Linked DNA regions of Anolis sagrei. The protein of the gene in region 1 purifies or fractionates together with the protein of each later gene. This does not show direct contact. Links are inferred from orthologs where the notes say so. Each region holds a gene or a part of one and is shown in the gene's direction. Other genes may lie near its edges.

Evidence for each region.
Region 2: the proteins of MARK2 (region 1) and FUCA1 purify together in Homo sapiens (affinity purification with mass spectrometry; 3 studies listed by BioGRID and IntAct, counting the BioPlex papers as one, with this or other methods). This does not show direct contact. The link is inferred for Anolis sagrei from reciprocal best matches to the Homo sapiens genes MARK2 and FUCA1.

The regions. Positions count from the first base shown.
Region 1 is NC_090032.1:14,863,762-14,879,790, forward strand, and holds the start of MARK2 (serine/threonine-protein kinase MARK2), read left to right. Parts: upstream 1-8,351; 5' UTR 8,352-8,848; coding exon 8,849-8,902; intron 8,903-16,029. UniProt on the Homo sapiens protein: Serine/threonine-protein kinase. Involved in cell polarity and microtubule dynamics regulation. Phosphorylates CRTC2/TORC2, DCX, HDAC7, KIF13B, MAP2, MAP4 and RAB11FIP2. Phosphorylates the microtubule-associated protein MAPT/TAU.
Region 2 is NC_090034.1:79,871,585-79,888,002, reverse strand, and holds the start of FUCA1 (tissue alpha-L-fucosidase), read left to right. Parts: upstream 1-9,928; 5' UTR 9,929-9,932; coding exon 9,933-10,315; intron 10,316-13,868; coding exon 13,869-14,003; intron 14,004-14,090; coding exon 14,091-14,228; intron 14,229-15,542; coding exon 15,543-15,648; intron 15,649-16,418. Other genes in the region: CNR2 (cannabinoid receptor 2), read left to right, coding at 1,743-2,846. UniProt on the Homo sapiens protein: Alpha-L-fucosidase is responsible for hydrolyzing the alpha-1,6-linked fucose joined to the reducing-end N-acetylglucosamine of the carbohydrate moieties of glycoproteins.

The DNA.
Region 1 (16,029 bases):
GGCCAGGTAAGAAGACACCATCAAAGCCCTCCTGAAAGATGGCCAGCCAGCCTCTGCTTTAACATCTCCAGGGAAAGAGACTCACTCATTATTATCATTATCATTATCATTATCATTATTATTATTATTATAGAAATCTTAAGAGTTGGACCGTCCTAAGGCAGTGCTGGCCACATAGGAAGACACCATCAAAGCCCTCCTGAGAGATGGCCAGCCAGTCTCTGCTTTAACATCTCCAGGGAAGGAGACTCCCTCATTATTATTATTATTATTATAGAAATCTTAAGAGTTGGACTGGTCCTAAGACACTATCAAACCCCTCCTGAGAGATGGCCAGCCAGCCTCTGCTTTAACATCTCCAGGGAAAGAGACTCCCTTATTATTATTATTATTATTATTATAGAAATCTTAAGAGTTGGACTGGTCCTAAGAAAGTGCTGGCCAGATAGGAAGACACCATCAAAGCCCTCCTGAGAGATGGCCAGCCTCTGCTTTAACAGCTCCTGGAAAAGAGACTCCCTCATTATTATTATTATTATTATTATTATTATTATAGAAATCTTAAGAGTTGGACTGGTCCTAAGGCAGTACTGGCCAGATAGGAAGACACCATCAAAGCCCTCCTGAGAGATGGCCAGCCAGCTTCTGCTTTAATATTTTCAAGGAAAGAGACTCCCTCATTATTATTATTATTATTATTATTATTATAGAAATCTTAAGAGTTGGACTGGTCCTAAGGCAGTACTGGCCAGATAGGAAGACACCATCAAAGCCCTCCTGAGAGATGGCCAGCCTCTGCTTTAACATCTCCAGGGAAGGAGACTCTCTCATTATTATTATCATTATCATTAATATCATTGTCGTCGTCATCATCATCATCATTATTATAGAAATCTTAAGAGTTGGACTGGTCCTAAGACACCATCAAAGCACTCCTGAGAGATGGCCAGCCAGCCTCTGCTTTATCATCTCCAGGGAAGGAGACTCCCTCATTATTATTATTGAAATCGTAAGAGTTGGATTGGTCCTAGGACACCATCAAAGCCCTCCTGAGAGATGGCCAGCCAGCTTCTGCTTTAATATCTCCAAGGAAAGAGACTCCCTCATTATTATTATTATTATTATTATTATTATTATTATTATTATAGAAATCTTAAGAGCTGGACTGGTCCTAAGGCAGTGCTGGCCAGATAGGAAGACACCATCAAAGCCATCAAAGAGATGGCCAGCCAGCCCCTGCTTTAACATCTCCAGGGAAATAGACTCCCTCATTATTATTATTATTATTATTATTATACTAATATTGTGCTATGCTCCCTCGTTCTTGCTGCTGCTATAATAATAATAATTATTATTATTATTATTATAGAAATCTTAAGAGTTGGACTGGTCCTAAGGCAGTGCTGGCCAGATAGGAAGACACCATCAAAGCCCTCCTGAGAAATGGCCAGCCCCTGCTTTAACATCTCCAGGGAAAGAGACTCCCTCATCAACATTATTATTATTATTATTATTATTATTATTATTAAACTTTATTTGTACCCCGCTAGCATCTCCCGATGGATTCGATGCAGCTTACACAGGCTGAGGCCTCAACACACCATTACCATTATCATTATTATCATTGTCATTATTATTATAGAAATATTAAGAGTTGCGCTGGTCCTAAGATACCATCAAAGCCCTCCTGAGAGATGGCCAGTCAGCCTCTGCTTTAACATCTCCAGGGAAAGAGACTCCCTCATTATTATTATTTTGTTCATTCGTTCAGTCGTCTCCGACTCTTTGTGACCTCATGGACCAGCCCACGCCAGAGCACCCTGTCAGCCGTCACCACCCCCAGCTCCTTCAAGGTCAGTCCAGTCACTTCAGGGATGCCATCCATCTTCTCCTTGGTCAGCCCCTCTTCCTTTTGCCTTCCACTTTCCCCAGCATAATTGTCTTCTCTATTATTCTCTATTATATTATTATTATTATAGAAATCTTAAGAGCTGGACTGGTCCTAAGGCAGTGCTGTGGCCAGATAGGAAGACACCATCAAAACCCTCCTGAGAGATGGCCAGCCTCTGCTTTAACATCTCCAGGGAAGGAGACTCTCTCATTATTATTATTATAGAAAGAGAGTTGGACTGCTCCTAAGACACCATCAAAGCCCTCCTGAGAGATGGACAGCCAGCCTCTGCTTTAACATCTCCAGGGAAAGAGACTCTCTCATTATTATTATTATTATTATTATTGAAATCTCAAGAGTTGGACTGGTCCTAAGGCAGTGCTGGCCAGATAGGAAGACACCATCAAAGCCCTCCTGAGAGATGGCCAGCCTCTGCTTTAACATCTCCAGGGAAAGAGACTCCCTCAACAACATTATTATTACCATTATCATTATTATCATCGTCATCATTATTATAGAAATCTTAAGAGTTGGACTGGTCCTAAGACACCGTCAAAGCCCTCCTGAGAGATGGCCAGCCAGCCTCTGCCTTAACATCTCCAGGAAAAGAGACTCCCTCATTATTATTATTATTATTATTATTATTATTATTATAGAAATCTCAAGAGTTTGACTGGTCCTAAGGCAGTGCTGGCCAGATAGGAAGACACCATCAAAGCCCTCTTCAGAGATGGCCAGCCAGCCTCTGCTTGAACATCGCCAGGGAAGGAGACTCACTCATCATCATCATCATTATTATTATTATAGAAATTTTAAGAGCTGGACTGGTTCTAAGGCTGTGCTGGCCAGATAGGAAGACACCATTAAAGCGCTCCCGAGAGATGGCCAGCCAGCCTCTGCTATGACATCTCCAGGGAAGGAGACTCTATCATCATCATCATCATCATCAAAGAAATTGGTACTAGGTTCTTGTGGGTTTTTTCGGGCTATAGAGCCATGTTCTAGAGGCATTTCTCCTGACGTTTCGCCTGCATCTATGGCAAGCATCCTCAGAGGTTGTGAGGTCATTGGTACTGTTCGATAAAAATCTAATTTAAAGGCCATCCAGTTTGAACCTATTCTGCCAGGCTTAGATGAAGGGTGAGAAGGCATGATCATCAAGTTTGCAGAGGACACCAAATTGGGAGGGAGAGCCAATACTCCAGAGGACAGGAGCAGGATTCAAAACGATCTTGACAGATTAAAGAGATGATTGGCCAAAACTAACACAATGAAGTTCAACAGGGACAAATGCAAGATACTCCACTTTGGCAGGAAAAACGAAATGCAAAGAGACCGAATGGGGGACAATGCCTGGCTCGAGAGCAGTACGTGTGAAAAAGATCTTGGAGTCCTCGTGGACATGAGCCAACCATGTGATGCGGCGGCAAAAAAAGCCAATGGGATTTTGGCCTGCATCAATAGGAGCAGTGTCCAGATCTAGGGAAGTCATGCTCCCCATGCCCTATTCTGCTTTGGTTAGACCACATCTGGAATATTGTGTCCAATTCTGGGCACCACAATTCAAGGGAGACATTGACAAGGTGGAATGTGTCCAGAGGAGGGCGACTCAAATGATCAAGGGTCTGGAGAACAAGCCCTATGAGGAGTGGCTTAAGGAGCTGGGCATGTTTAGCCTGAAGAAGAGAAGGCTGAGAGGAGATATAATAACCATGTGAGAGGAAGTCATAAGAAGGAGGGAGCAAGCTTGTTTTCTGCTTCCCTGGAGACTAGGGCGCGGAACAATGGCTTCAAACTACAAGAGAGGAGATTCCATCTGAACATGAGGAAGAACTTCCTGACTGTGAGAGCCGTTCAGCAGTGGAACTCTCTGCCCCGGAGTGTGGTGGAGGCTCCTTAACCCCTTTTCCTGCCATGTAGGGAAAGCACCATCAAAGCCCTCCTGACAGATGGCCATCCACCCTCATAGAATCCTAGAGTTTGGAGGGACCCTCAAAGGCCATCCAGTCCAACCCCTTTTTCTGCAATGCAGGAAAAGCACCATCAAAGCCCTCCCGGCAGATGACCATCCAGCCTTATAATGAATTGCAATGAATTTTATTGTACGGTCACAAACTAGGAGTCCTCTATAATCCTAGAGTTGGAAGGGATCCCCAAAGGCCATCCAGTCCAACCCCTTTTCCTGCCATGCAGAGAAAGCACCATCAAAGCCCTCCCAACAGATGGCCATCCAGCCTAATAGGGTTTTAAAGTTGGAAGGGACCCCCAAAGGCCATCCAGTCTGACCTCTTTTTTCTACTGTGCAGGAAAAGCACCACCAATGCCCTCCCAACAGATGGCCATTGAGTTGGAAGGGATCCCCAAAGGCCATACAGTCCAATTCCTTTTTCTGCCATGCATATAAAGCACAATGAAAGCCCTATCGACAGATGGCCACCCAGCCTCATAGAATTCTAGAGTTGGGAGGGACCCCCAAAGGCCATCCAGTCCAACCCCTTTTTCTGTCATGCAGGAAAAGCAGAATGAAAGACCTCCCAATAGATGGCCATCCAGCCTCATAGAAATCCTAGAGTTAGGATCCCCAAAGGCCACCCTGTCTGACCCCTTTTTCTGCAGTGCAGGAAAAACACCATTGAAGCCCTCCTGACAGATGACCACCCAGCCTCATTGAGTCCTAGAGTTGTAAGGCACCCCCAAAGGCCATCCAATCCAACCCCTTTTTCTGCACAATGAAAGCCCTCCTGACAGATAGCCATCCAGGCTCATAGACTCCTAGAGTTGGAAGGGACCCCCAAAGCCCATTCAGTCTGACCTCTTTTTCTGCCATGCATATAAAGCACAATCAAAGCCCTCCCAACAGATGGCCATCCAGCCTCTTAATGGTGCACACAGTGGTCAGCATCTATAGAATTAGAAAAGTATGCATCTCATTCTGATAATTTTCCAGTCCGTTGTTGATGGAGTTCATTGTGCTAGAGTAGTAGCAATAATAATAATAATAATAATAATAATAATAATAATAATAATAATAATAATAATAACAACAACAACAACAAAAACAACAAGATAAAATGCTATTTCAGTATGTAATGTTCAACAGTGACCACAGGATGGCAGCAAAGAGTAAGAGCCTATGTCTTACACAGAACTCTGCAGCCGGCTGTACTAAAAGGGTGCAATATTCCACTTCGGCCACGCGATGGCAGCAAAGGACCGTACATTGGATCTGCAGAGCCTTGGGCAAAAGGCAACTCTAAGGGAGAGATCGAGAGGGTGTAATATTCAGTGTGTCCACTGGAGGGAGGCAAAGGGACCAGTCATTAGGGCAATGCAGAAGCTCATTGGGGATGATGAGGTCAGTTGTCCTATTCCTCTAATAATAGATTAATCTATTATTAATAATAACAATTAATCTATTAATAATATTAGATTAGTGCCCCATTTGGGTTTATCTGGATTATAATTCCCATTTCAGTTCTATTAGAGTCCAGTTTTAAATAAAATAATAATAATAAAAAAATGAAAAATGAAAAAATAAAATAGTAAAATAAAAAATAAAATAAATAATGATAAAGATAAATAAATAAAAGTAATAAAATAAATAATAAATAGAAACAGAAATAAATGAAGATAATAAAATAAATAGAAATAGAAATAAATAAAAATCTAATTATAATAATAAACAATTATAAAGATAAATAAATAAATAAATAAAGATAAATAAAGAATAAATAGAAATAGAAATAAATAAAAATCTGATAATAATAATGTTAAAGATAAATAAAAATAATAAAATAAATAATAAAAATAAATAGAAATAAATAAAAAATCTAATTATAATAATAAATAATTATAAAGATAAATAAATAAAAATCTAATTATTATAATAAATAATTATAAAGATAAAGAAAGATAAATAAATAATAAAAATAAATAATGATTAAGATAAATAAATAAAAATAATAAAACAAATAATAAAAATCAATAGAAATAGAAATAATTAAAAATCTCATTATAATAATAAATAATGATAAAGATAAATAAATAAATAATAGAATAAATAAAATAAATAGAAATAGAAATAAATGAAAATCTAATTATAATAATCTCCAGCAAAGGATCATAAATAATAAAAATCAATAGAAATAGAAATAAATAAAAATCTGGTTATAATAATAAATGATAAAGATAAAAAATAAATGAAAACAGTAAAATAAATAATAAAAATAAACAGATAAAGATAAATAAATAAAAATAATAAAATAAATAATAAAAAGAAAAAGGAATAGAAATAAATAAAAATCTAATTATAATAATAAAAATGATAAAGATAAATAAATAAATAATAGAATAAATAAAATAAATAGAAATAGAAATAAATAAAAATCTAATTGTAATAATAAATAATGATAAAGATAAATAAATAAAAATAATAAAATAAAAGTAAACAATGATAAAGATAAATAAATAAAAATAATAAAATAAATAATAGAAATAAAAAGAAATAGAAATAAATAAAAATCTGATTATAATAATAAAAATGATAAAGATAAATAAATAATAGAATAAATAAAATAAATAGAAATAGAAATAAATAAAAATCTAATTATAATAATAAATAATTTTAAAGATAAATAAATAAATCAAAATAACAAAATAAATAATAAAAATATATAGAACCAGCACAATTAGATGCCACGTGTATATATATATATATATATATATATATATACATATATCAGTTAAAAGCAATTAAATTACATCATAAATACATATAAAACCATAAAAGCAATAAAAACTATATAAATCTATAAAACCAATATCTTCCGGTTCTATTCTCATCTGTTTACATTGTCTTAGCCATTCCATGTTTATATACCTATTTGAATTTACACTGAAGTTCCAAATGCTTTCTCAAAAAGTCAGGTCTTCGATCTTTTCTAAAAGGCCAGGAGGGAGGGGGCTGATCTAATATCCTTGAGCAGGGAGTTCCACAGCTGAGGGGCCACCACTGAGAAGGCCCTGTCTCTCATCTAAATAATACTAATACATTAAAATGCTAGTACTACTAAATATTTATTTATTTACACCATTTCTACCTCGACTTTCTCCACTCGAAAGGGGACTCTAGATGGCTTTACAACATGTGATGTCATTAAAACAATGTAAAAATTATAATAAACATTTAAAAAATCTTATAATAGAAAGCATATAATAATAATGATGATGATGATGATAATAATAATAATAATAATAATAAATGGTTCTATTTGGTTTAGAAATCACATCTTAGTCCTATGAGGGCCCCATTTTTGGCCCTTTGTGGATCAGAAATCCCATTTCAGAGCCCCAGTTTGGTAATATCTGGATTGGAAACCCCATTTTAGTCCTATTAGAGCCCCATTTTGGTTCTACCTGGGATATAAATCTAATTTCAGTCCTATTAGAGTCCAGTTTTGCTCCTATGTGGATTAGAAATCCCATTGGATCCTATTTCAACCCCATTTTGGGCCTATCTGGATGGGAAATCCCATCTGAACATGAGAAAGAACTTCCTGACTGTGATAGGGGTTCAGCAGTGGAACTCTCTGCCCCGGAGTGTGGTGGAGGCTCCTTCTTTGGAAGCTTTTAAACAGAGGCTGGATGGCCATCTGTCGGGGGTGATTTGAATGCAATATTCCTGCTTTTTGACAGAATGGGGTTGGACTGGACGGCCCATGACTGTGAGAGCCGTTCAGCAGTGGAACTCTCTGCCCCGGAGTGTGGTGGAGGCTCCTTCTTTGGAAGTTTTTAAACAGAGGCTGGATGGCCATCTGCCGGGGGTGCTTTGAATGCAATATTCCTGCTTTTTGACAGAATGGGGTTGGACTGGATGGCCCATGAGGTCTCTTCCAACTCTTTGATTCTATGATTGCAGTCCTTATTATTATTATTATTATTATTATTATTATTATTATTATTATTATTATTATTATTATTATTATTATTGTTTTGGTCCTTCCTGCAGTGTCGGTTTCTGGCCACCAGGGGGCAAGCTGTTTCCTGCAGCTTCAATAGGATTCATTCGGTTGTTTCCGTACACTCTGAGCTCAACTCGCTCGGCTATTTCCGTATTGTGCGCCTGCAGTGTCAGTCACTGGCCACAAGGGGGCGGAGGATCCCTGCCTGTTTCCTGCATCCCAGGTTCATGGACCAGAAGGCAGTTTCGATAGTACTCATTCGGTTGTTTCCGTACACTCGCTCGGCTATTTCCGTATTATGCGAGCCGAAACCTGTTCGGCTATTTCCGCCTCCTTTCCGAACCGCTTGGGGAAGGTTTTCTCGAAGTTGCCCTCTTTCAGTGCCAAAGCTTTGGCCACGCCCCCGCCTGCCTTTCGTGGACCAATCAACTTTGTCCATCCCTTTTCGGCTCTTTCCGTACACCGTGGGACTTTTCCCGCCTGGATCGTGCGTTTCCGGAAAGTCGGCGGAACTTCCCGAAGCCCGGCGGCGGCGGCCATGTTGGGAGCCGCCGCTGTGTGAAGCAGAGCGGCGGTGAGTGGAGCTCGGGCACCGGGGCGGCGAAGGGAAGGGGAAGTCCGTGCCCGGCCTGGGAGGCCAAGGCGGGCGTCGGAGTTGTTCGCAGCAGCCCGGCATTGACTTTGGTTGACAGGGTCCCTCCGTTGGGAGCTTTCGGACCGGTGCGGCCTAGCTCCCGAGCCGCATCCCCGGCCTCGCGTGAAACGTCAAGCCGGGCATCCTTCACTCGAGCCCGGGGAAGGGGGGAACTCTTACACTGGTGTTTTTCCAACCGAGCCTGGTTGTTCCCCATGCTGGTGGCTTGGCCTCCCCCCTCGCCTTGAGGAGGAAGAAGAAGAGGGACCAGGCTCCTTCCCTTTGGGCCAGAAAGCAGGAAAGAGGAAGGAGGCAGCAGCAGCTGGGGGGGCCACCGCCCCTCAGGCCCTGCCACAGGCAGCCATGTCCAACAGCGGACGGAGCCCCTTGCCCACCTTGACGGAGAACACCGAGCAGGTAAGCAGAGAGAAAGAGTATCCACGAGGGGCCTCTTCTAGGCCCCCAAAGGCAGGACTGGCAGTCCCCGAGTTACGAACGAGACCGGGTCTGTAGCCTTGCTCTTAAGTTGAACACCTATGGAAGTCAGAACAGGTACATTTTAAAAGTGTCACTCCATCCAAATGTATATATTATATTACTAGTCATTCCCTGGAAAATAAAGTAACGAGAAAGTGCTGGTTTCTAATATATGTCATTTCTCTACATTTTAAAAAGTGTCACTCCATCCAAATCTATATATTATATTACTTGCCATTCCCTGCCAGGCGTTGCTGTGGAAAATAAAGTAATGAGAAAGTGCTGGTTTCTAATATATGTCATTTCTTTACAGTTTAAAAGTATCACTCCATCCAAATGTATATATTATATTACTACCCATTCCCTGCCAGGCGTTGCTGTGGAAAATAAAGTAATGAGAAAGTGTTGGTTTCTAATATATGTAATTTCTGGCCGGGGTGGTCCATGCCTTGGCCACCTCCAGATTGGACTACTGCAATGCGCTCTACGTGGGGCTGCCCTTGAAAACGGCTCGGAAGTTCCAACTGGTCCAACGAGCAGCAGCCAGGATGTTAACTGGGGCCCCTTACAGAGAGAGGTCAACCCTCCTGTTCAAGGAGCTCCACTGGCTGCCGTTTATTTTCCGAGCCCAAAATAAGGTGCAGGCGCTTATCTACAAAGCCCTGAACGGTTTGGGACCATCCTACCTGCGTGACCGCATCTCCGTCTATGAACCCACACGTGCACTTCAGTCATCTGGAGAGGCCCTGCTCGTGATCCCGCCTGCTTCACAAGCGCAGTTGGTGGGGACACGAGACAGGGCCTTTTCTGTGGTGGCCCCCCGACTCTGGAACGCCCTCCCCAAAGATCTTAGACAGGCCCCTACACTGGCAGTCTTTAGAAAGAACTTGAAGACCTGGCTGTTCCGATGTGCCTTCCCAGATTAGGAAATCTCCAATACCAAGTCCCATAAGATTGCTGCACATCGCACACTGCACTTGCCCTATAAGCCTTATATTCCACCTGTCACATCAGCACTTTTAATCCTGTACCCATTACTCTGGCCCGGCCCAGTTTTATTGTGTCTTAGTGTATTGTTTATTGCTTGTTGTTTGTATTGCTTTAATTGTTTTTAATTTGCCTTACGTTTTGTATTGTTATATTGTGTGTTGAGGCCTTGGCCTTTGTAAGCCGCATCGAGTCCTTCGGGAGATGCTAGCGGGGTACAAATAAAGTTTAATAATAATAATAATTATTATTATTATTTCTTTATATTTTAAAAGTGTCACTCCATCCAAATGTATATATTATATTACTAGCCATTCCCTGCCAGGCGTTGCTGTGGCCCAGTCTGGTGATCTGGAAAATAAAGTAATGAGAAAGTGTTGGTTTCTAATATATGTCATTTCTTTATGCTTGTGGGTACATTTTAAAAGTGTAACTCCATCCAAATCTATATATTATACTAGTCGCCCCCTGCCACGCGTTGCTGTGGCCAACATGGGGGTTCTGTGTATACTCAAGTATAAGCCGAGATTTTCAGCCCTGTTTTAGGCTGAAAAAGCCCCCCTTGGCTTATACTCGAGTTAAGGTTATTTATTATTTTATTACTTTATTTTTATTTCATTTTACAAGCCGTCCCCTGCCACGCGTTGCTGTGGCCGACATGGGGGTTCTGTGTGGGAGGTTTGGCCCAATTCTATCGTTGGTGGGATTCAGAATGTTCTGTGGTTGTAGGTGAACTATAAATCCCAGCAACCACAACTCCCGAATGTCAAGATTCTATTTTCCTCAAACTCCACCAGTGTTCACATTTGGGCATATTGAGTATTCATGTAGAGTTTGGTCCAGATCCAACATTGTTTGAGTCCACAGTACTCTCTGGATGTGGGTGAACTACAACTCCAAAACCAAAGGACACTGCCCACCAAACCCTTCCAGTATTTTCTGTTGGTCATGGGAGAACTGTGTGCCAAGTTTGGTTCAATTCCATCATTGGTGGGGTTCAGAATGCTCTTTGTGATTGCAGGCGAACTCTAAATCCCAGCAACTACAACTCCCAAATGACAAAATCAATTTTTTTGAGTGAAGGACATACATTGGGTTGTTAGGTGTCTTGTGTCCAGATTTGGTGTCAATTCATCCAGTGGTTTTTGAGTTCTGTTAATCCCACAAAGGAACATTACATTTTTATTTATATAGATTATTAGCCATTCCCTGCCAGGCGTTGCTGTGGAAAATAAAGTAACGAGAAAGTGCTGGTTTCTAATATATGTAATTTCTTTACATTTTAAAAGTGTCACTCCATCCAAATCTATATATTATATTACTAGCCATTCCCTGCAAGGCGTTGCTGTGGAAAATAAAGTAATGAGAAAGTGCTGGTTTCTAATATATGTAATTTCTTTCTGCTTGTGGGTAAACACTATTTGGTTACGTTTTCTTGCCCTAGTGAAGGGAGTTGGACTGGATGGCATTAAGTATTTTCTATTGCAGTGGTTCTCAACCTGGGCTCCCCAGATGTTTTTAGCCTTCAAATCCCAGAAATCCTAACAGCTGGTAAACTGGCTGAGATTTCTGGGAGTTGTAGACCAAAAACATCTGGGGAACCCAGGTTGAGAACCACTGTTCTATTGGTTATAGAGGTGTTGTGTAGGAAATTTGCCCCAATTCTATCGTTCATGTGATTCAGACTGCTCTTTGGTTGTAGGTGAACTATAAATCCCAGTAACTACAACTCCCAATGTCAAGGTTTATTTCCCCCAAGCTCCATTTGTGTTCCTAGTTGTGCATATGGAGTATTTGTGCCGAGTGTGGTCCAGAACCATGCTTGTTTGAGTCCACAGTGCTCTCTGGATGGAGGTGTACTACAACTCCCAAACTCAAGGTCAATGCCCACCAAACCCTTCTCATGTTTTCTGTTGGTCATGGGAGTCTTAGGAGCCCCCGGTGGCGCAGTGGGTCAAACCCCTGTGCCGGCAGGACTGAAGACCAACAGGTCGCAGGTTCGAATCCAGGGAGAGGCGGATGAGCTCCCTGTATCAGCTCCAGCTCCTCATGCGGGGACATGAGAGAAGCCTCCCACAAGGATGATAAAAACATCAAATCATCCAGGCGTCCCTTGGGCAACGTCCTTGCAGATGGCCAATTCTCTCACACCAGAAGCGACTTGCTCTTGACACGACAAAAATAAAAAATGGGAGTCCTGTGTGCCATGTTTGATTCAATTCCATCATTGGTGGAGTTCAGAATGCTCTTTGTAGATGAACTATAAATCCCAGCCACTACAACTCCCAAATGACAAACTCATTTTTTTTTAGTAATGGTCACTCCTTGGGTTAGTAGGTGTCTTGTGGCCAAATTTGGGCGCAATTCGTCCAGCCGTTTTTGAATTATGTTAATCCCACAAACTAACACTACATTTTTATTTATATAGATATCAGTGTTTCTCAAGCATTTTTTGACTAAGGACCATTTTAACCAAGGGCCACTCTCCAACATTAGTACCAAAAGGGCTACGAATCCGTTTTTAGTCAATGTTAGATTCGGGTTGGTTATTTGGTGTACTGATTCAGAAAATTGCATGGTATCATGGTACCTTTTTTTTTTTTTTTAGAGCTTATTAGTATTTCAATGGGAAGTGTGGGCCTGCTTTTAGCTGATGAGATAGCATTATTAAATGTGTTTTCAAGTTGTTTCAGACTTAGGTTGACCCTGAGCGAGGGCTGGGTAAATTACCTTGGAGGGCCGTATCCGGCCCCTGGGCCATAGTTTGAGGACCCCTGGGTTAAACTCTTGTGCCAGCAGGACTGTTGATCCACAAGTTGAGCCAACAATGTGATGTGGCGGCAAAAAAAGCCAATGGGATTTTGGCCTGCATCAAGAGGAGCATAGTGTCTAGATCTAGGGAAGTAATGCTCCCCATGCTCTATTCTGCTTTGGTTAGACCACACCTGGAATATTGTGTCCAATTCTGGGCACCACAATTCAAGAGAGATATTGACAAGCTGGAATGTGTCCAGAGGAGAGCGACTAAAATGATAAAAGGTCTGGAGAACAAGCCCTATGAGGAGCGGCTTAAGAAGCTGGGCATGTTTAGCCTGAAGAAGAGAAGGCTGAGAGGAGATATGATACCCATGTATAAATATGTGAGAGGAAGTCACAGGGAGGAGGGAGCAAGCTTGTTTTCTGCTTCCCTGGAGACTAGGACGCGAAACAATGGCTTCAAACTACAAGAAAGGATATTCCATCTGAACATGAGGAAGAACTTCCTGACTGTGAGAGCCGTTCAGCAGTGGAACTCTCTGCCCTGGAGTGTGGTGGAGGCTCCTTCTTTGGAGGTTTTTAAACAGAGGCTAGATGGCCATCTGTCAGGGGTGCTTTGAATGCAATATTCCTGCTTCTTGGCAGAATGGGGTTGGACCGGATGGCCCATGACTGTGAGAGCTGTTCAGCAGTGGAACTCTCTGCCCTGGAGTGTGGTGGAGGCTCATTCTTTGGAGGTTTTTAAACAGAGGCTAGATGGCCATCTGTCAGGGGAGCTTTAAATGCAATATTCCTGCTTCTTGGCATAATGGGGTTGGACTGGATGGCCCATGACTGTGAGAGCTGTACAGCAGTGGAACTCTCTGCCCCGGAGTGTGGTGGAGACTCCTTCTTTGGAGGTTTTTAAACAGAGGCTAGATGGCCATCTGTCACGGGAGCTTTAAATGCAATATTCCTGCTTCTTGGCAGAATGGGGTTGGACTGGATGGCCCATGACTGTGAGAGCTGTTCAGCAGTGGAACTCTCTGCCCTGGAGTGTGGTGGGGGCTCCTTCTTTGGAGGTTTTTAAACAGAGGCTAGATGACCATCTGTCAGGGGTGCTTTGAATACAATATTCCTGCTTCTTGGCAGAATGGGGTTGGACTGGATGGCCCATGACTGTGAGAGCTGTTCAGCAGTGGAACTCTCTGCCCTGGAGTGTGGTGGAGGCTCCTCCTTTGGAGGTTTTTAAACAGAGGCTAGATGGCCATCTGTCAGGTGTGCTTTGAATGCAATATTCCTGCTTCTTGGGAGGGGGTTGGACTGGATGGCCCATGAGGTCTCTTCCAACTCTATGATTCGAAGATTCTCTCATATCCTTGCAAGCTAGAGCTGACAGATGGGAGCTCACCCGGCCTCATGTATTCGAACCCAGGTTGCAACCCAACTTTCAGGTCAGCAGTCCAGCTGGCACCCATTGCGCCACAGCGTGGCCCCCTTGAATCAGATCCTGGGATATGCAATATTCCTGTTTCTTGGCAGGGGCTTGGACTGGATGGCCCATGAGGTCTCTCCCAACTCTTTGATTCTATGGTTCTATATAGGTCCTGTCTAGGAGGGGCCTCAGAGAAATCTACTCCTCTGAAGGGAAATTCACTCCAGAAAGTCAGCTCAGAAGATATACAATAAGTTATGCAGTGGGTTGTTGTAGGTTTTCCGGTCTGTATGGCCATGTTCTAGAAGCATTCTCTTTTGATGTTTCGCCTGCATCTGTGGCAGGCATCCTCAGAGGTTGTGCAGTGTTATGGTGGGGGTCTCCACTGAAGCTTTATCACCAATCCTTATTTCCAAATTTTTCAAAATCCAGTTCTCACAGGGACACAATAGTAGAGGGAGCTTTTGTCTCTTCCTCTTCCCTTTTATTTTTCTCCCCTGTCATAGCCATAGAATGATGTGTTGAAATGTTCTCACCACGTCCTGTTGTCGAAAGGCAGAAACTGGAACAGAGCTCATTGAAAAACAATCCCAAAACAGCATGCATGGGAAGGCAAAAGGGTCCTGTTCCTTTAAGAGTTGCAAGGAAAAGGGACTCTAGTTAGGCAGAGAGGATTCTCCCCTCCTCTCCCCACCCCCCATCTCTGCAGCTCTATGATGGGAGAAGCATAGGATTGCCACCACTTTTTTTTGTTAACTGTTTCTATTCCATTGCCTCCAGGCAGTCGTGGTTGCCTTGGTTTGCCTTGCTTCTCTGTCATTTTTTACATGGAAAGAAAAACCTTTCCCATCAGAATAGTTTAAAGCAGTGTTTCTCAATCTTCTGAATGCTGCGACCCCTTAATACAGTTCCTCATGTTGTGGTGACCCCCAACCATCACACTGTTTCATAACAGTATTTGCTACTGTTATGAATCGGCATGTAAATATATGATATACAGAATGTGTTTTGATTCACAGGACTAGATTTGGCACATGATACACCCAAATTTGACTAGTGGTGGTATTGTGGGGAGGATTGATTTTGTCACTTGGGAGTTGTAGTTGATGGGATTTATAGTTCACCTGCAATTGTCAGGTAAATATCTGATATGCAGGAAGTATTTTCAGTTACTGGACCAAATTTGGCACAAATATCCAATATGCCCAAATTCTAATACTGGTGGGGTTGGAAGGATTGATTTTGTCATTTGAGATTTGCAGTTCCTGGGATTTATAGTTAACCTACAATCAAGGAGCATGGTGACCCCCAACCATAACATTATTTTCGTTGATACTTCATCACTGTCATATTGCTACTGTCATTAGGGAGTTGTCGTTCCTGGGATTTATAGTTCACCTATAATCAAAGAGTGTTCTGAACTCCACCAATGATGGAATTGAACCAAACTTGGCACACAGAACTCCCATGACCAACAGAAAATACTGGAAGGGTTTGGTGGGCATTGACCTTGAATTTTGGAGTTGTAGTTTACCTACATCCAGAGAGCACTGTGGATTCAAACAATGATGGATCTGGACCAAACTTTATAGTTAACCTACAATCAAAGGGCATGCTGAACTCCACCAATGATGGAATTGAACCAAACTTGGCACACAGAACTACCACGACCAACAGAAAATACTGGAAGGGTTTGGTGGACATTGACCTTGAAATTTGGAGTTGTAGAATCATAGAATCAAAGAGTTGGAAGAGACCTCATGGGCCATCCAGTCCAACCCCATTCTGCCAAGAAGCAGGAATATTGCATTCAAATCACCCCTGACAAATGGCCATCCAGCCTCTGCTTAAAAGCTTCCAAAGAAGGAGCCTCCACCACACTCCGGGGCAGAGAGTTCCACTGCTGAAC
Region 2 (16,418 bases), on another chromosome or scaffold:
CACAGAGACATGCTGCCCATCTAATAAACAAAAAATTAGGGAAAGAATTTTATTCACTATCAAATGAGAAAAAACGGGGGGTGATAATATATGCAAAGGAGAAATTAGCACCACAACTAGCATTCAAAGACACAGAAGGAAGAACAATAGGCATAATAATCAAACAAGGAAACCAAGAAATCCTCGTTTGTAACATATATGCGCCAAATGGCCCAAAAACTAAATTCATTAACTATTTAAATGAAAAAATTAATGAAACACAACAAGACAATATCATTTTAATGGGCGATTTCAATGGAGTAATCAATAGTAACTACGATAAAAGCAAGGCAAAAAAGAAAACCAAAGGAGACAAATTAAGCACCCTTCCAATGAAATTCTTAAAACTAAAAGAAGACTGGGACTTGGAAGACACCTGGCAAACCCGAAACGGTGAAAGTAGGGACTACACCTACTTCTCAGGGAGACATAACAGATGGTCGAGAATCGACATGATTTGGTCCTCCAAAACCATCAATTCACAACAAACAAGAAGGAATTAATGAAGTAACTAATATTTAGTGTACACTTACTTCCACACTTGCATCCTGTGTTCAAAGCCCAATTTGCTAACATGCAAATTATAAGAGTGGAGTCCATCCAACTCAGTGGGTGTGGAAGTTTTGTGAAGTAAAATAAAACTTTGCAGCAGGTATTAGAAAGCTGGAACAGCAAAAGCAATGGAGACAAGAGACTGGAGGAAGTCATAGATTTCCGAACCCTAAATCAATGGTGCATCTGAACTATGGAATGAATACAGTTCGACACCACTTGAACCATGGCAATTTCCATCGCATTGTTCCACAACTGTTGAAGCAGTGTCAACCCACATTCATTTTACAGTATACACCTGAGGTTTAGAATGTGGGTTCCTATTAATCTGCTTGTAGGCTCCCTAAAAGGGTGATGAGTTTTCTTAACCTAGGTTCCCCAAATACCTTTTACAAATGTTTGAAAAATGTGTGAAAACAGGAAGCCAAATAGCAACCACTTCCCCATTAGAATACCTTTTGTTTCTATGGAGTCACTGTATTGTTGGTCTGGTTGCCCCTGAAACAATAAATAAATACTGTATTGTTTCCCCACCACTAATAGTTCCCTACAGTCAGCGTATATAGTAGTATGACACAATACCACCTGTTACTATTGGTAACTCTGTTGGCTATTATACTCCTAAAGAGATCAAAGCTCAGATCAAAGATAGTGATTTCCCCTTCTATGTCCATAAGGTCATCGTAACACACAGTCTCCACCCCCAAACACCAAAAATAAACTAAAATTGGCCTAAAAGGGAAAAAAGAAAAGAAAATCATGATATAGATCACTTGCAAGCCTGTCAGCAAGGATGGAAAGAGAAAAAGTGGCAGCCATTCTTCCTTCCCTGAAGAGTGAATTGGCTACATTTAGATTTGAACTGACATGAACCAAGAACTAAGGGGGGAAATGTGAGGAGGAAAAAAAACAAACATTTTCAAAGCAACTGAGAAATTGGAATGACAGAGGATTAGTCAGGACAGTCCATGCCAAATGACAATAGTTGAAGGGTATGATGGATTGGGTTGGAAGGGAGTACAGCATATGATTGTATTGATACTCAGTACTGCACATTGTCCTCATTAATATATATTTAAATTCCTCCAGTTCCCATCACTCTGTAGCCAAGACTGCCAACCTCTTTCCAAAGACGGCCTAAGTCCACCACGATGGAGCAATGCAAGGTGAACACATCGGCGGGGGACATCTTGAGATGCCACTCCAACATAGTGCCTATGGAGTGCTACCTGGTGCTCAACAACACATCACAGGCCCTCATCGCCACATTGTGTTGCACTGCCGGAACCCTCTGCGTATTGGAAAATACCTTGGTACTCTACCTCATCTTTTCTTCCCCAAAGATCCACAGGAAGCCTTCTTACCTTTTCCTTGGCAGCCTCGCCTTGGCTGACACCTTGGCCAGCTTCATCTTCGTCTGGAGCTTCCTCCAGTTTCACATTTTCAGAGGGGCCGACTCCATGGTGGTCTTTTTACTCAAGCTAGGAGGCGTCAACACCACCTTCACAGCTTCCCTCGGCAGCCTTTTGCTGATGGCTTTTGATCGATACATCTGTATCCTCAAACCCTCGACATACAAGGTCCTGGTGACTAGTAAAAGAGCCCTGGTGGCTTTGGTAGTCCTGTGGCTCTCCATTGCGTTCCTTGCCTCCTTACCTCTCTTTGGATGGAACTGCTGCAGACTCAACTCTCCTTGCTCCGAGCTCTTTCCTTTTGTGGACAACAATTACCTTCTGAGCTGGGCAAGCTTTGTGGCGGTCCTTCTGGTATCCATCATCTATGCCTACGGACATGTCTTATGGAAAGCCCGGCAACATGTTGCATACATGGAGAAGCATCACAGACCCAACGGCCAAACCAAAAGCAAGATGAGGCTAGACATTAAGTTGGCCAAGACCTTAGCCATTGTCCTGCTTGTCCTTGTCACCTGCTGGACCCCTGCCATGGCTCTCATGACGTACAGCATCTTTGCCAAAATGGATACCTCCCTGAAGAGAGTGTTTGCCTTCTGCAGCACCCTCTGCCTGGTCAACTCCATGGTGAACCCGGCCATCTATGCCCTACGAAGCAGGGAGTTGAGCTCTGCTCTGAGGAAAGTTTGCACCAATTTCAGAAGAAAAACTGACATCTCAGATAGCAATCCTGATGCAGAAAGCACTCAGAAGACCTTGCCGTTCGAAAACATAGGGGACAGATTTGTCGGCAGTTCCACAAAGACCCAAGCTTCAGAAGGTGACAAAATGGAAGCATTGTAGAAATGGATGTTTTCTCTTCCCATTTGAAAAGACTTCCAAGCATATTTACTACCGATCTGGTGGAACTGGAGATGAAGTTGCTCCGGACACTCTGCATGGATTGTAGAAATGCCAGAATACGGAGGAGGAAATACTTTGAAAGTGGCCAGAAGTCAATTTCTGGTTTGGATAAAATGGTACTACAGTATTTGATGTTGAACCTTCAGAAGCACCCTGCAAACTTTTTAAAATGGCAAACTGGTGCTGCTGGGAGATTCCAGGAAAAACAATGGCTGGGTGGCATCTTGGTAGAAAAACGTCCATGTAGTCACAATATAGACATGGAATGAATTTTAAACATATGCTGCTAACAGGAATGGAAGCAGGGTAGTACATAAGGCAATGCCGTTCAGTGTCATTGCGCATTGCAGATTGCCATTTCACAGTGCACAAAAGCACTTAGTAATTGATTGATGTTGTGCAATATTGCTATTTTGCATAAGGGTTGCATAGTACTGGTGTACCTTATCTTCACATATGTATATTCATGCTCTGCTGAGGGGATATTGAGTTGTAGTTTCGGATTTCTTCCTTTGCCTCCTTCCCCGTCATCTTTTTTTAAAAAATATGGCTCAATACTTTCCCAGTGTTTTGGACTTCAACTTCCACAATTCCTAACAGCCTCAGGTCCCTTCCGGGTCTGAGGCTGTTAGGAATTGTGGGAGTTGAAGTCCAAAACACCATGAAGGCCAAAGTTTGAACATGCCTGCTCTAGAATCATGGGAGTTGTAGCTTTACTGGGTCTTTAACTTTCTCTGAAGGAATGCTGGAGCCTCACCAAACTCCAGCTTCCATAATTCCATAGCCACAGAAGATAAAATGGGGCAAGACTGCATCAATTCTGCAGTGAAGAACTAGCCTTAGTCAATGAATGCTAACGCTATAAACATTTTTCTCTCAGTGTCATAGGCTTGATCTAGACTGCCCAATAATGCAGTTTAAGGTGCATTATATGGCAGTATAAACCTAAAGTACTGCAAAATCCCTTTCCACACCGATATTCAGATTAACATGGCTATGTCTTTGATTTTTTTTTTAAACTGTTATACATTCCTGGATGGTGGGGACTGGACTAAATAGCTTTTGTATTTCCTTCCCTCTGTCTTTTCTAAGTAATGCAATCACCTCCTGATACTTTGGATTTATCTGGGCAAAGGCGTCTCTTCCTGCATATGATATCACAATAAATTATGAAGAACAGATGGGAATATTTATTTATTTACCTTATTTATATCCCACCTTTCTCTACCCCAAGGGGGACTCAAGGCGGCTTACAAATGGCACCTCAAAACATACAATATTCACAAAATAATTTAGATTAAAATTACTAACACAATAACATGATTAAAATAGATTCAAGGTTGAAACACACCATCAAGGGATCAAAGTCTAAGGCCGTTCTATGATCAATTGCACATATTCCACATTAAAATTACTGCACTACTCTATTTTGTGAAAGCCTGCTCCCAGAACCAGGTTTTTACTCTTCTTCTGAAGGCTGGGAGGGAGGGGCTGATCTGATGTTATTAGGGAGAGAGTTCCACTATCAAGGGGCCACCACTGAGAAGGCCCTGTCTCTTGTTCCCACCAGCCACACTTGCAAAGAAGGTGGAACCAAGAGCAGGCCATCCCAGATGATCTTAGTCTCCGAGCCGGTTTGTAGGGGGAGATACATTCGGACAGGTAGACTGGGCCAGAACTGTTTAGGGCTTTATAGGATAAAGCCAGCACTCTGAATTACGCTCGGTAGCAGACTGGCAGCCAGTGGAGCTGACATAACAGAGGAATTGTGTGCTTCCTGAACACCACTCAGGTGAGCAACCTGGCTGCCACTCATTGGACCAGTTGAAGCTTTTGAACAGTCTTCAAAGGCAACTCCACGTAGAGCGTATTGCAGTAATCTATACAGGATATAACCAGAACTTGGACCACTGTGGCCAAGTCAGATTTCCCAAGGTACGGGCACAGCTGGCGCACAAGTTTTAATTGTGAAAAAGCCCCCCTGGCCACCGCCGAAATCTGGGTTTCCAAGCTCAACAATGAATCCAGAAGGACTCCCAAGCTGCGATCCTGTGACTTCAGGGGTAGTGTAACCCCATCCAGCACAGGCTGTAACCCTACACCCTCTTCGGCCTTTCGACTGACCAAGAGGACCTCTGTCTTGGTTTTTTTTTTCCCCTTTCCTTTTCCATTTATAATATTTACTCCTTATTAATTTGCTTTCATTTACAACTGTGTTTATACTATGGGGTTCTAAGTTCCCCATCATGACCCCCTTGAATACAGGGGTTGCTCTGCAAGCTATTGAAACTCCCTCTTGACAGTTTTGATTTTATTGGGTTGAGGGTTTGTTTAAATAGTCATCATACCTATTCCTCTCCTTTCCCCATTTTAATTGAGTTTTCCAAAGGTTACAACTAAAAAAAACCATTGTAATTAATTTAAAATAAATAAAATCAAAATATATAATATAACAAATAATAATAATAATAATAATAATAACTATTTCTATCCCCCCTATCTCCCCAGTGGGGACTCAGGGCAGTTAACAACCTGTTTACATTTAGTACTGTAAAATGTAAACAACAAACAGATAAATTACCATAAAACAAATACATAATAGAACATTAAACATCGACATTGAGCAATGATAAATCATTGCAACAAATTAGACATCACACAACTAAAAAATTACATTTTAACTAATAAACTATTTAAAAGCCAGCCTTAAAATTGACATGAATAAAAGTTTTATAAAGCATTCAAATTGAAAAGCTAGAGCAGGGGTCCTCAAACTTTTTAAACAGAGGGCAAGGTCACAGTCCCTCAAACTGTTGGAGGGCCGGATTATAATTTGAAAAAAAATGAATGAATTCCTATGCACACATCTTATTTGTAGTTCAAAAACCACTTAAAAACAATACAATAATTAAAATGAAGAACAAGTTTAACAAATTAGTATTTCAATGGGAAGTGTGGGCCTGCTTTTGGCTTTTTTTGTGTGTCTCAGGAGCAACTTTGAGAAACTGCAAGTCACTTCTGGTGTGAGAGAATTGGCTGTCTGCAAGGACGTTGCCCAGGGGACGCCCAGATGATTTGATGTTTTTATCATCCTTGTGGGAGGCTTCTCTCATGTCCCCGCATGAGGAGCTGGAGCTGATAGAGGGAGCTCATCCGCCTCTCCCCGGATTCGAACCTGCGACCTGTCGGTTTTCAGTCCTGCCAGCACAGGGGTTTAACCCACTGCACCACCGGGGGCTCCGGTGCTCGTCAGCTTTTGGCTGATGAGATAGGATTGTTGTTATTGTTGTCGTGTGCTTTCAAGTCGTTTCAGACTCAGGCTGACCCTGAGCGAGGGCCAGGTAAATGACCTTGGAGGGCCATATCCGGCCCCCGGGCCATAGTTTGTGGACCCCTGAGCTAGAGTAACAGCTATTTCCATATTCCATTCCATTTTGTTTTTGTCAAATATCTTATATATCGTCCTCTCTATATGCTTGCGATCATAAGAAGGTCCTTGCTCTCTTTCAAAAAACAATAAGAGACCTTCTGTTACTCCGGGAGGGAGTTCCAGAGGTGGGGACATGTAACACAATACAATAAATATGATATGTATGTGTGTGTGTGTGTGTGTATACACACACACACACACACACACACACACACACATATACAATAGACATTCTAGTGTTGCTGTAAGAAGGTACCCCAGAAGCAGCTTTCACTGGGTTGCTGTGAGTTTTCTGGGCTGTATGGCCATGTTCCAGTAGCATTCTCTCCTAACGTTTCACCCACATCTATGGCAGGCATCCTGAGAGGTTGTGAGGTCTATTGGAAACTACGCAAGTGGGATTTATATATCTGTGGACTAATGTCCAGAGTAGGAGAAAGAACTCACACTTGCCTCAAGCAGACAAGAGTTCTTTTTCCCACCCTGGACATAATTCCACAGATATATAAACCTCACTTATTTTATTTATTTATTTATCAATTTTATATACCGCCACTCCCCGAAGGCTCGGAGCGGTTTGCCTACTTACCTCACAACCTCTGAGGATGCCTGCCATAGATGTGGGCGAAATGTCAGGAGAGAATGTTTCTGGAACAAGGTCATACAGCTTGGGTGGTGCTGTGATTATATTACTTAGTGGAAAGACACGTTTTAATATTTGTATATTTTATACAGCTTTTATCAGCCTGTTGTGTTATTTATGAGGTTGATCAACTACATGTTTTAGCCTAGGTTGTTTTATTGGCTTATTTTTAATTGTTTACTTTTAGCTCTTTCCTTGTTTCTGTTTTATTTTGATTTTATCATTGCACACGGCATTGAATGCTTGCCATTTTGGTCTTTGGAAGGCGTCCTCAGTCCCTTCATGGGAGAGAGAGCGGGTTAAAGAATTAAGTATTATTATTATTACTATAAAAACTCACAGCAGCCCAGACTTGCAGTATGTTTCCTAATAAGGTTGTCAGACTGAAAACTGGAGGCAGTTCCCATATCCTTAATAGTTATTTATTAAAAGAGGGATTTCAGGCGTTACTTCACTAGAAGCACCTAAATATTAAAAGTCTAGTTTTTACTCTATAATAATAATAATAATAATAATAATAATAATAATAATAATAAAACGTATATATCGCTCTATCTCCCCGAGGGGACTCAGAGCGGTTCCTAGGTAACATCACAAAACATACAAAGTAAAACAACATAACCATAAGATTAACCAAACAATATATGCATAAAAATTGTCACCATAACACACATATATTGAAAGTAATCCTGCCTGTTCAAGGCAATTAAAAAATTTACAAGGCCAAGCCGAGATTTGTGTAAGCCCAAAAATTCTAGGGGCCCCGGAAATTAAGTGCAATGCTATAGCAGGCAACAATAATATTAGGTACGGGTCTGTGGCTGTTCATTCCGGGGCTGATTAGAGGAAGTGATCTGGGTAATTGGCCGTATTCGACAATGTGTAAGACTGAGTTAGAGCTTGTCATTTACAAAGGCTTGTTGAAACCACCAGGTTTTCAAGTTCTTACAAAAGGAGGGGAGGGATGGGGCCTGTCTTATTTCCCTTGGAAGGGCATTCCAGAGGCGAGGGGCCACCACCGAGAAGGCCCTCTCTCTCGTCCCCACCAACCGTGCTTGTGACGGAGGTAGACCGAGAGGAGGGCCTCCCTGGAAGATCTTAGAGTTTGTGCCGGTTCATAGAAGGAGATGCAATCACGGAGATAGGTGGGGCCTGAACTGTTTTTTAGGGCTTTATAATTCATGACCAGCACCTTGAATTTGGCTCGGCAACTTATCGGCAGCCAATGAAGCTGTTTTATTAGGAGTGTTGTATGCTCCCTATAGTTTGCTCCAGTAAGGAGCCTAGCTGCCGCCCGTTACACCAGTTGAAATTTCCGGGCTGTTTTCAAAGGCAGCCCCACGTAGAGCGCATTGCAATAGTCCAGTTTAGTCTAGCAACTTTATTTCCCAATTAAATCACAAAAGTCACTGAGAGCCTGCTTGAATTTTGTTCGCCTCACCTCTCTGGGAAAGCCTTCCTTTCATCTACCTCAAGCAAACAAGAGTTCTTTCTCCCACCCAGATATATAAGCCTCATTTTCTAGTTTCCAACGGAGCTCTCACTACCTCTGAGGATGCTTGCCATAAATGCAGGCGAAACGTCAGGAGAGAATGCCTCTAAACCAGGGGTCCTCAAACTTTTTAAACAGAGGACCAGGTCACAGTCCCTCAAACTGTTGGAGGGCCGGATTATAATTTGAAAAATATATATGAATTCCTATGCACACTGCACATATCTTATTTCTAGTGCAAAACACTTAAAATACAATAATTAAAATGAAGAACAATTTTAACAAATATAAACATATTAGTATTTCAATGAGAAGTGTGGGCCTGCTTTTGGCTGATGAGATAGGATTGTTGTTGTTGTGTGCTTTCAAGTCATTTCAGACTTAGATTGAACCTGAGCGAGGGGCGGGTAAATGACCTTGGAGGGCCGTATCCAGCCCTCGGGCCAAAGTTTGAGGACCCCTGCTCTAGACCATGGCCATATAGCCCGAAAACCAGTGATCCCAGCCATGAAAGCCTTCGACAATACACAGACCTCACAACCTCTGAGGATGCCTGCCAGAGATGCAGGTGAAACATCAGGAGAGAATGCTTCTGGAACACGGCCATACAGCCCGGAAAACTCACAACAACCCAGTTATTCCGGCCATGAAACTACAAGAGAGGAGATTCCATCTGAACATGAGGAAGAACTTCCTGACTGTGAGAGCCGTTCACCAGTGGAACTCTCTGCCCCGGAGTGTGGTGGAGGCTCCTTCTTTGGAGGTTTTTCAACAGAGGCTGGATGGCCATCTTTCGGGGGTGCTTTGAATGCAATATTCCTGCTTCTTGGCAGGGGGTTGGACTGGATGGCCCATGAGGTCTCTTCCAACTCTTTGATTCTATAGATTCCATCTGAACATGAGGAAGCTCTTCTTGACTGTGAGAGCCGTTCAGCAGTGGAACTCTCTGCCCTGGAGTGTGGTGGAGGCTCCTTCTTTGGAGGTTTTTAAATAGAGGCTAGATGGCCATCTGTCATGGGTGCTTTGAATGCAATATTCCTGCTTCTTTGCAGGGGGTTGGACTGGATGGCCCATGAGGTCTCTTCCAACTCTTTGATTCTATAGATTCCATCTGAACATGAGGAAGAACTTCCTGACTGTGAGAGCCCTTCAGCAGTGGAACTCTCTGCCCTGGAGTGTGGTGGAGGCTCCTTCTTTGGAGGTTTTTAAACAGAGGCTGGATGGCCATCTGTCAGGGGTTATTTGAATGCAATATTCCTGCTTCTTGGCACGGGGTTGGACTGGATGGCCCATGAGGTCTCTCCAACTCTTTGATTCTATGAGTTTTGCAGCTGGCTGCCATGCCCCCTCACGTGACTCCGCCGAGTGGGGCTACTATTGGTCGGCACGTGACTCTGCTGAGGTGGCTGGCCATTGGTCGAGACGTCTCCTGAAGGCTGCCTCACGTGATTCGGCGGGCCAATGCGCATGGCGGAAGCGAGTTCCTCTCTGAGGGAATCCAAGATGGCGGCCTGGGCGGTGTTTGTTGCTCTTCTCTCCGTCGCGGCGGCATCTCCTCAGCGTTACACGCCGGACTGGGCCAGCCTGGACTCGAGGCCGCTGCCCGGCTGGTTCGACGCGGCGAAGGTGGGCGTCTTCGTGCACTGGGGCGTCTTCTCGGTGCCGGCCTGGGGCTCGGAGTGGTTCTGGTGGCACTGGCGGGGCGAGGGGCGGCCCGAGTACGAGCGCTTCGTCAAGGCCCGCTTCCCGCCGGGCACCAGCTACGCCGACTTCGCGCCCCTCTTCACCGCCCAGGACTTCCTGCCCGAGGCCTGGGCCCAGCTCTTCCAGCAGGCCGGCGCCAGGTCGGAAACATTGTAATGTGGACATAATTTCGGTTATAGCAGAAACCTTGCTGCGTATAAAAAGGTTCTCAAAAAGGGAAACTATATTGGGTTGTTGTAGGTTTTTTCGGGCTATATGGCCATGGTCTAGAGGCATTCTCTCCTGACGTTTCGCCTGCATCTATGGCAAGCATCCTCAGAGGTTGTGAGGTCTGTTGAAACTAGGGGAAAAATATTATTTATGTATTTATTTATTTATTTAAAAGTTTTATATACCGGCCTTCTCACCTCTCTTGAGGGACTCAGACCGGTTTCCAACCATAATATCACATACAGTTAATAAAAACATAATAATTCATTTTACACTAAAACATTAAAACAGCAATTACATTCAATAACTACAGTGGTCAGTCGTCACACTAACTCATTCATCATCCTCCATCCATATCTGGCTCACTCGTCGAATGCCTGTCTCCATAACCAAGTCTTCACCTGTTTCCTAAATGTCAGGATAGACAGGGCGGTTCTGATCTCCAGTGGAAGAGAGTTCCAGAGTCGAGGGGCCACCACCGAGAAGGCCCTGTCCCTCGTCCCCACCAGACGCGCTTGCGAGGCCGGTGGGACTGAGAGCAGGGCCTCTCCAGACGATCTTAATAATCTTGAGGGTTTAGATATCTGTGGAATGACCAGGGTGGGACAAAGGACTCTTGTCTACTGGAGCTAGGTGTGAATGTTTCAACTGACCACCTTCATTAGCATTTGATGGCCTGGCAGTGCCTGGGGCAATCACTTCTGCAGGAGTCTACCGTATACCATGCAGCTGTGGACAAGTCTACATAGGGACCTCCAAACACAGCTTTGCCCAAACACGAATCAGGGAACATGAAAGGCACTGCAGACTACTTCAGCCAGAGAAATCAGCAGTAGCAGAGCACCTGATGAACCAACCTGGACACAGCATTTTATTTGAGAACACAGAAATGCTGGACCACTCTCACAACCACCATGTCAGACTACACGGAGAAGCCATTGAAATCCACAAGCATGTGGACAATTTCAACAGAAAGGAGGAAACCATGAAAATGAACAAAATCTGGCTATCAGTATTAAAAAAACTCTAAAATTAAAACAGCACAACAACAGAGAGGAAGCAAACAAGGACATCTAATCACCTCTCAACAAAAGTTTGCTCCAGGCACTGCCAGGCCATTATATGCTAATCAAGGTGGTCAGTTGAAACATTCACACCTAGCTCCAGCAGACAAGAGTCCTTTGGTCCCACCCTGGTCATTCCACAGTTATATAAACCCTTTTTCCTAGTTCCAACAGACCTCACTACCTCTGAGGATGCTTGCTATAGATGCAGGCGAAACGTCAGGAGAGAATGCCTCTAGACCATGGCCATATAGCCTGAAAAAACCTACAACAACCCAGTGATTCTGCCATGAAAGCCTTCAACAATACAGGAAACTATATTATTATTATTAAACTTTATTTATACCCCGCCACCATCTCCCCAAGGGGACTTGGGGTGGCTTACACGAGGCCAAGTCCAGCAATACAGCAATGCAAATAAACAACCTACAACAACAGTAAAATATAAAAATAAAAAATAAAATACAAGAAACTAAATAAACATCAAGCAATGTAAAATCACAATAATTAAACACAGAAAATAAATCACAGTGGGCAAGGCCGATAGCAAGGATTAAAAAGTTTAAAAACACTGGATGAGAAGGCAATGTATTGTATCTGGACAGGGGATCGGAGGGACGAAAGTAGGGTTTAAATGCACTAGTAGGTAGAAAACAAAGTGCTTCCGAGGACATTATTTTGCAAGGTTTGGTCAGGTCAGGGGTTATAGTTCAGTTCATCATTCCTTGAAGGCACACTGGAACAGCCAAGTTTTCAAGCTCTTCCTAAAGACTGCCAGGATGGGGGCTTGCCTAATTTCTCTGGGGAGTGAATTCCAGAGCCGAGGAAGCCCTCTCCCTCGTCCCCACAAGTCGCACTTGCGATGGAGGTGGGAGCGCGAGAAGGGCCTCTCTGGAAGATCGAAGGGGTCGTGTAGGTTCATAAAAGGAAATGCAGTCACAAAGTTAGGCAGGTCCCAAACCTTTCAGGGCTTTGTAGGTAAGTACCTGCACCTTGAATTGGGACCGGAAAATAAACAAGGGGGTATACCGCTACCTGTAATTCACACCAGTTAGTAGTCTGGCTGCTGCTCGTTGGACCAGTTGGAATTTCCGGGCCGTCTTCAAGGGCAGCCCCACGTATAGACTATAGACCGGTGCTTCTCAACCTGGGGGTCTTGAGGGGGATTTCAGAGGGGTAACCAAAGACCATTAGAAAACACATATTTCTGATGGCCTTAGGAAGCCCTTTGACAGAGAAGGCTGAAGATCTCTCTGCTTATTATTTGTTAAACCCTTTAAGTATTACTTTTAATACATGTATTGCTGATACCCATCCTCCAACATTGCAGCAAACAAGACTGCATAATATGCCATATTTACTCGAATATAATGCACATCTTTTAAGGCAGTGGTTCTCAACCTGTGGGTCCCCAGATGTTTTGGCCTTCAACTCCCAGAAATCCTAATAGCTGGTAAACTAGCTGGGATTTCTGGGAGTTGTAGGCCAAAACAGGTTGAGAACCACTGTTTTGAAGTATAATTGCTTAGCCAAAATGGACATGCACTTTACATTTGATGGCACATTCGAATCATGTGCCCAAATATGCCTATGCTTTTCCATCAGGCTGAGGCTACTGAACTCGGCAGCCTCCGCCTGATGGCTTCCCAACTTCCTCCATTCAGACCCTGAATAAAGCCAGCTAGGAAGCCACACCTCCTCTTCCAATCCTAGTTCGCCAGCCAGTTTGATGGGGGTGCCGCTTCTCCCACCTCACCCCTTTCCAAGTCCTGTTGTCCTTAGCCTCCAATCTGGGAAGCTAAGGAGAAGGGAATCCCCCTCCCTTCTTCCCAAGCCACCTTCCGCCTATTTCAGCTGGGAGGCTAAGGATAAGTGCTGCCCCTCTCCACCAAGTCAAGACTGGCAAATTATCCAGCCTCTACTTGGCAGAAGGGTGCCACTTCTCCTTGCTTCTCTGGCAAATCCATTTTTGGTCATGTGCACCTCAAAATTGGGGTGTGCATTACAATTAATGGTGAAATAGAGTCATGTAAATACATATACATAGACGAGTATACGGCCAGACATCTGTATCCCAGGATTCTGCACCCGCAGTTTCAATGAGCTGCAACTTGAAAAATTTCCAAAAAGCCCACCTTGATCTTGCCATTTTATATAAGAGACAGCAATTTAGTAAACAATTTGTATATGATCACATGAACATCCACGGATCTTGGATCCTGTAACCAAACCCCAGAGGTGGGGTGCACTTCGGATGTATTAAGACAGAGTAAGGAGTATCTTCCTGAATTTGATCTGCCGATGGTACAGTTTTAAAAGGCAGATGAAGCTTTGTCTTTTTCTTTGCTATCTCTTAAATGTGGGTATATTTACTCTGAGTTCTCTTCCTTCCTGACTTGTTATCTTCCTTTGCCTAAAGATATGTGGTGCTGACCACAAAGCATCACGAAGGCTTCACCAACTGGGGTTCCCCCGTGTCTTGGAACTGGAACTCGGTAGATACAGGGCCCCATAGAGACTTGGTGGGAGAACTGGGAGATGCCCTCCGAAAAAGGTATGGATGTGGGTTCAAAGGTTGGGGTGGAGAGGTTGGGCTTAGGAGCTTTCTGATCACTTGCGGATCTTTTGTTCTAATCTTTAGGAACATACATTATGGGCTGTACCACTCCCTCTATGAATGGTTTCATCCACTCTATTTGATGGACAAAAATAATGAATTCAAGACACAGTATTTTGTCTCTGAGAAGACTATGCCAGAGCTTTTTGACCTTGTTTTAAGGTAAGAGCAAGACATCATCAGAAAAACCTAGATTAGCCTATACTATCTAGACGTGGTTCCCTCTAAGTGTGTTAGACTGTAACTTCCAGAAGCCCTTCTATGAAATTTTGTTACTTGTAGTTTGGTGAAAGGCTAGAGCTCTCTTGCTGAAAATTCTAAAGACCTCATGAAACGGCAAATTCCAGGATTCCATAGGAATTGAAGTGGAGCCAAGTGCTTTAATTGCTTATGTAGTGTGAAAGAGACTCCTAGATGTATTTCATCAGAAGTGAACCCTGTTGCGTGCAACAAGGCCAAGTACATCTGCTTAGAATCTGCGAGACCAGGGACAATCCTGTGCTTCTGTCTATAGCTCTGTTCTGTAGGTGCTCTAATACTGGCCTATACCTGCTAAGTGCCTCGGCTGCCAAGATGCACAGACCCAACACCCCACTGCATAGATGGAGGCAAAGACAGGCTTGTTTTACTAGCAAATTTGTAACAAAGGTGACCAACATGCAGGCTGTGTGTGGTTATGTCACTGTATTGTGGTCTAGGAGTAACAACACATTTTTATTTGTTCTCTGAAACCAAGTGCATGAGAAAGATGTACCTGGCTTTGAAGAATAATCGAATTCTCTGAAGCACTGCTTATTAAACTCAGGATCCTGGCCCCAAATGAGGTCCTCTGAGCTCAGAGTTGGGATCACAAAAATTTGGCAGTAGTAAAAGGTTTCTGAATGCTACCTAGATATTTACACAAATCTGTTAGTTACAGTGGGACTTTGCAGAAAATGCTTCAACTATATTCCATAAAAAGGAAAATCGGCCTATATAGCAAGCCTTGCAAATGCTGATTTATTACACTAGCCAACACACATTTTGGTGTCTCAAATGTCAGTCCTGTTTCTGGGTCTATTTCTGGGTATATGCCAGTTTCTCCATATCAGCTCTAGTTTTTGAGATAGAAAACATATTTACCTATATACCCAGGTCATGTAAAAATATCTTGGGCAAAAGGGATCACGAATGAAAAATGTTTAAGAAGCCCTTCTCTAAAGCATAACACTCTATTCAGAAAACAGCATAAACTCTTCATGTGCTTGGTTTTAAGAGGAAAGGTTTATTATCTTTAATGTTATGCCACCAGATTTAGCTAGCAAGATATGTCTAGTCCTTAGAATGTGAAGTTTCCCCGCCCTGCTGAAATTGTCCACTTTGTTTTACAACAGTATAATCAGACCAGTCACTATTAGCACATCTCAACAGAATGAGCAGGAACTAGGACACAATTGTATTGGTAAATTTTCTGGTTTTGTTAATCTGCATCTAAAGGTACAAGCCGGATCTCATCTGGTCTGATGGAGAATGGGAAGCTCCAGATACATACTGGAACTCAACTAATTTCCTTGCCTGGCTTTACAACGATAGTCCAGTCAAGGTATCTGAATTTGCTTTGAACTGGGGCAGTTAATGAATGTTGAAAACCCAGCCAAGTTTTTCCTACTTGCTTGCATTTGAGATTAAGACTTTAGAGTGGCTCTTTAGATATTTTGGCCCATGAAAGCCTTTGTGGTTCTTCAGAGTGTCCAAAATGTATCTGTCACCTCTTTAGTGAGACCTGTTAGGTTTTTCTTGATGGAGGCTCAGTTCATGTAGCTAACGGTGAGAGCACTATACAAACTCCACTTTAAGTATTGTAACAAAGTGCAGGAAATAGAAATATGTATTACTTGTGATTGCCATCTCCAAGTCTGAGAACAGAAATAGCAAGAGTATATAACTCCATAATTCCTGTTTTCTACACATTTCTAAACCTTTGAGCAAGAGTGGGAATTGCATGTCCAGATGGTGCTGAATGTTACTCGCATCATTTCTCTCCCCATTGGATGTGCCGGGTAGGATTGCTAGTATTTTTGGGTCAGCAACACTTGAGGGGGGAGGGGGGAGGGGGGGGGTCTGCTGTTCCCACAAAACCTCAGACTATGCATGTGCTTAAACATGAAGGTCATGTTGGAAAAATGGCATAAATAGCAGGCCTTCAGAGGATGTGACTAGTGCTATGAACCCCTTCGCTACTGAGACATTGGGAATTTTAGGGATGATAATAAACTGCTGAGCTGCTGAACTTGCTGACTGCAAGATCGGTGGTTTGAATCCAGGGAGCAGGGTGAGCTCCCACTGTTAGCCCCAGCTTCTTCCAACCTAGCA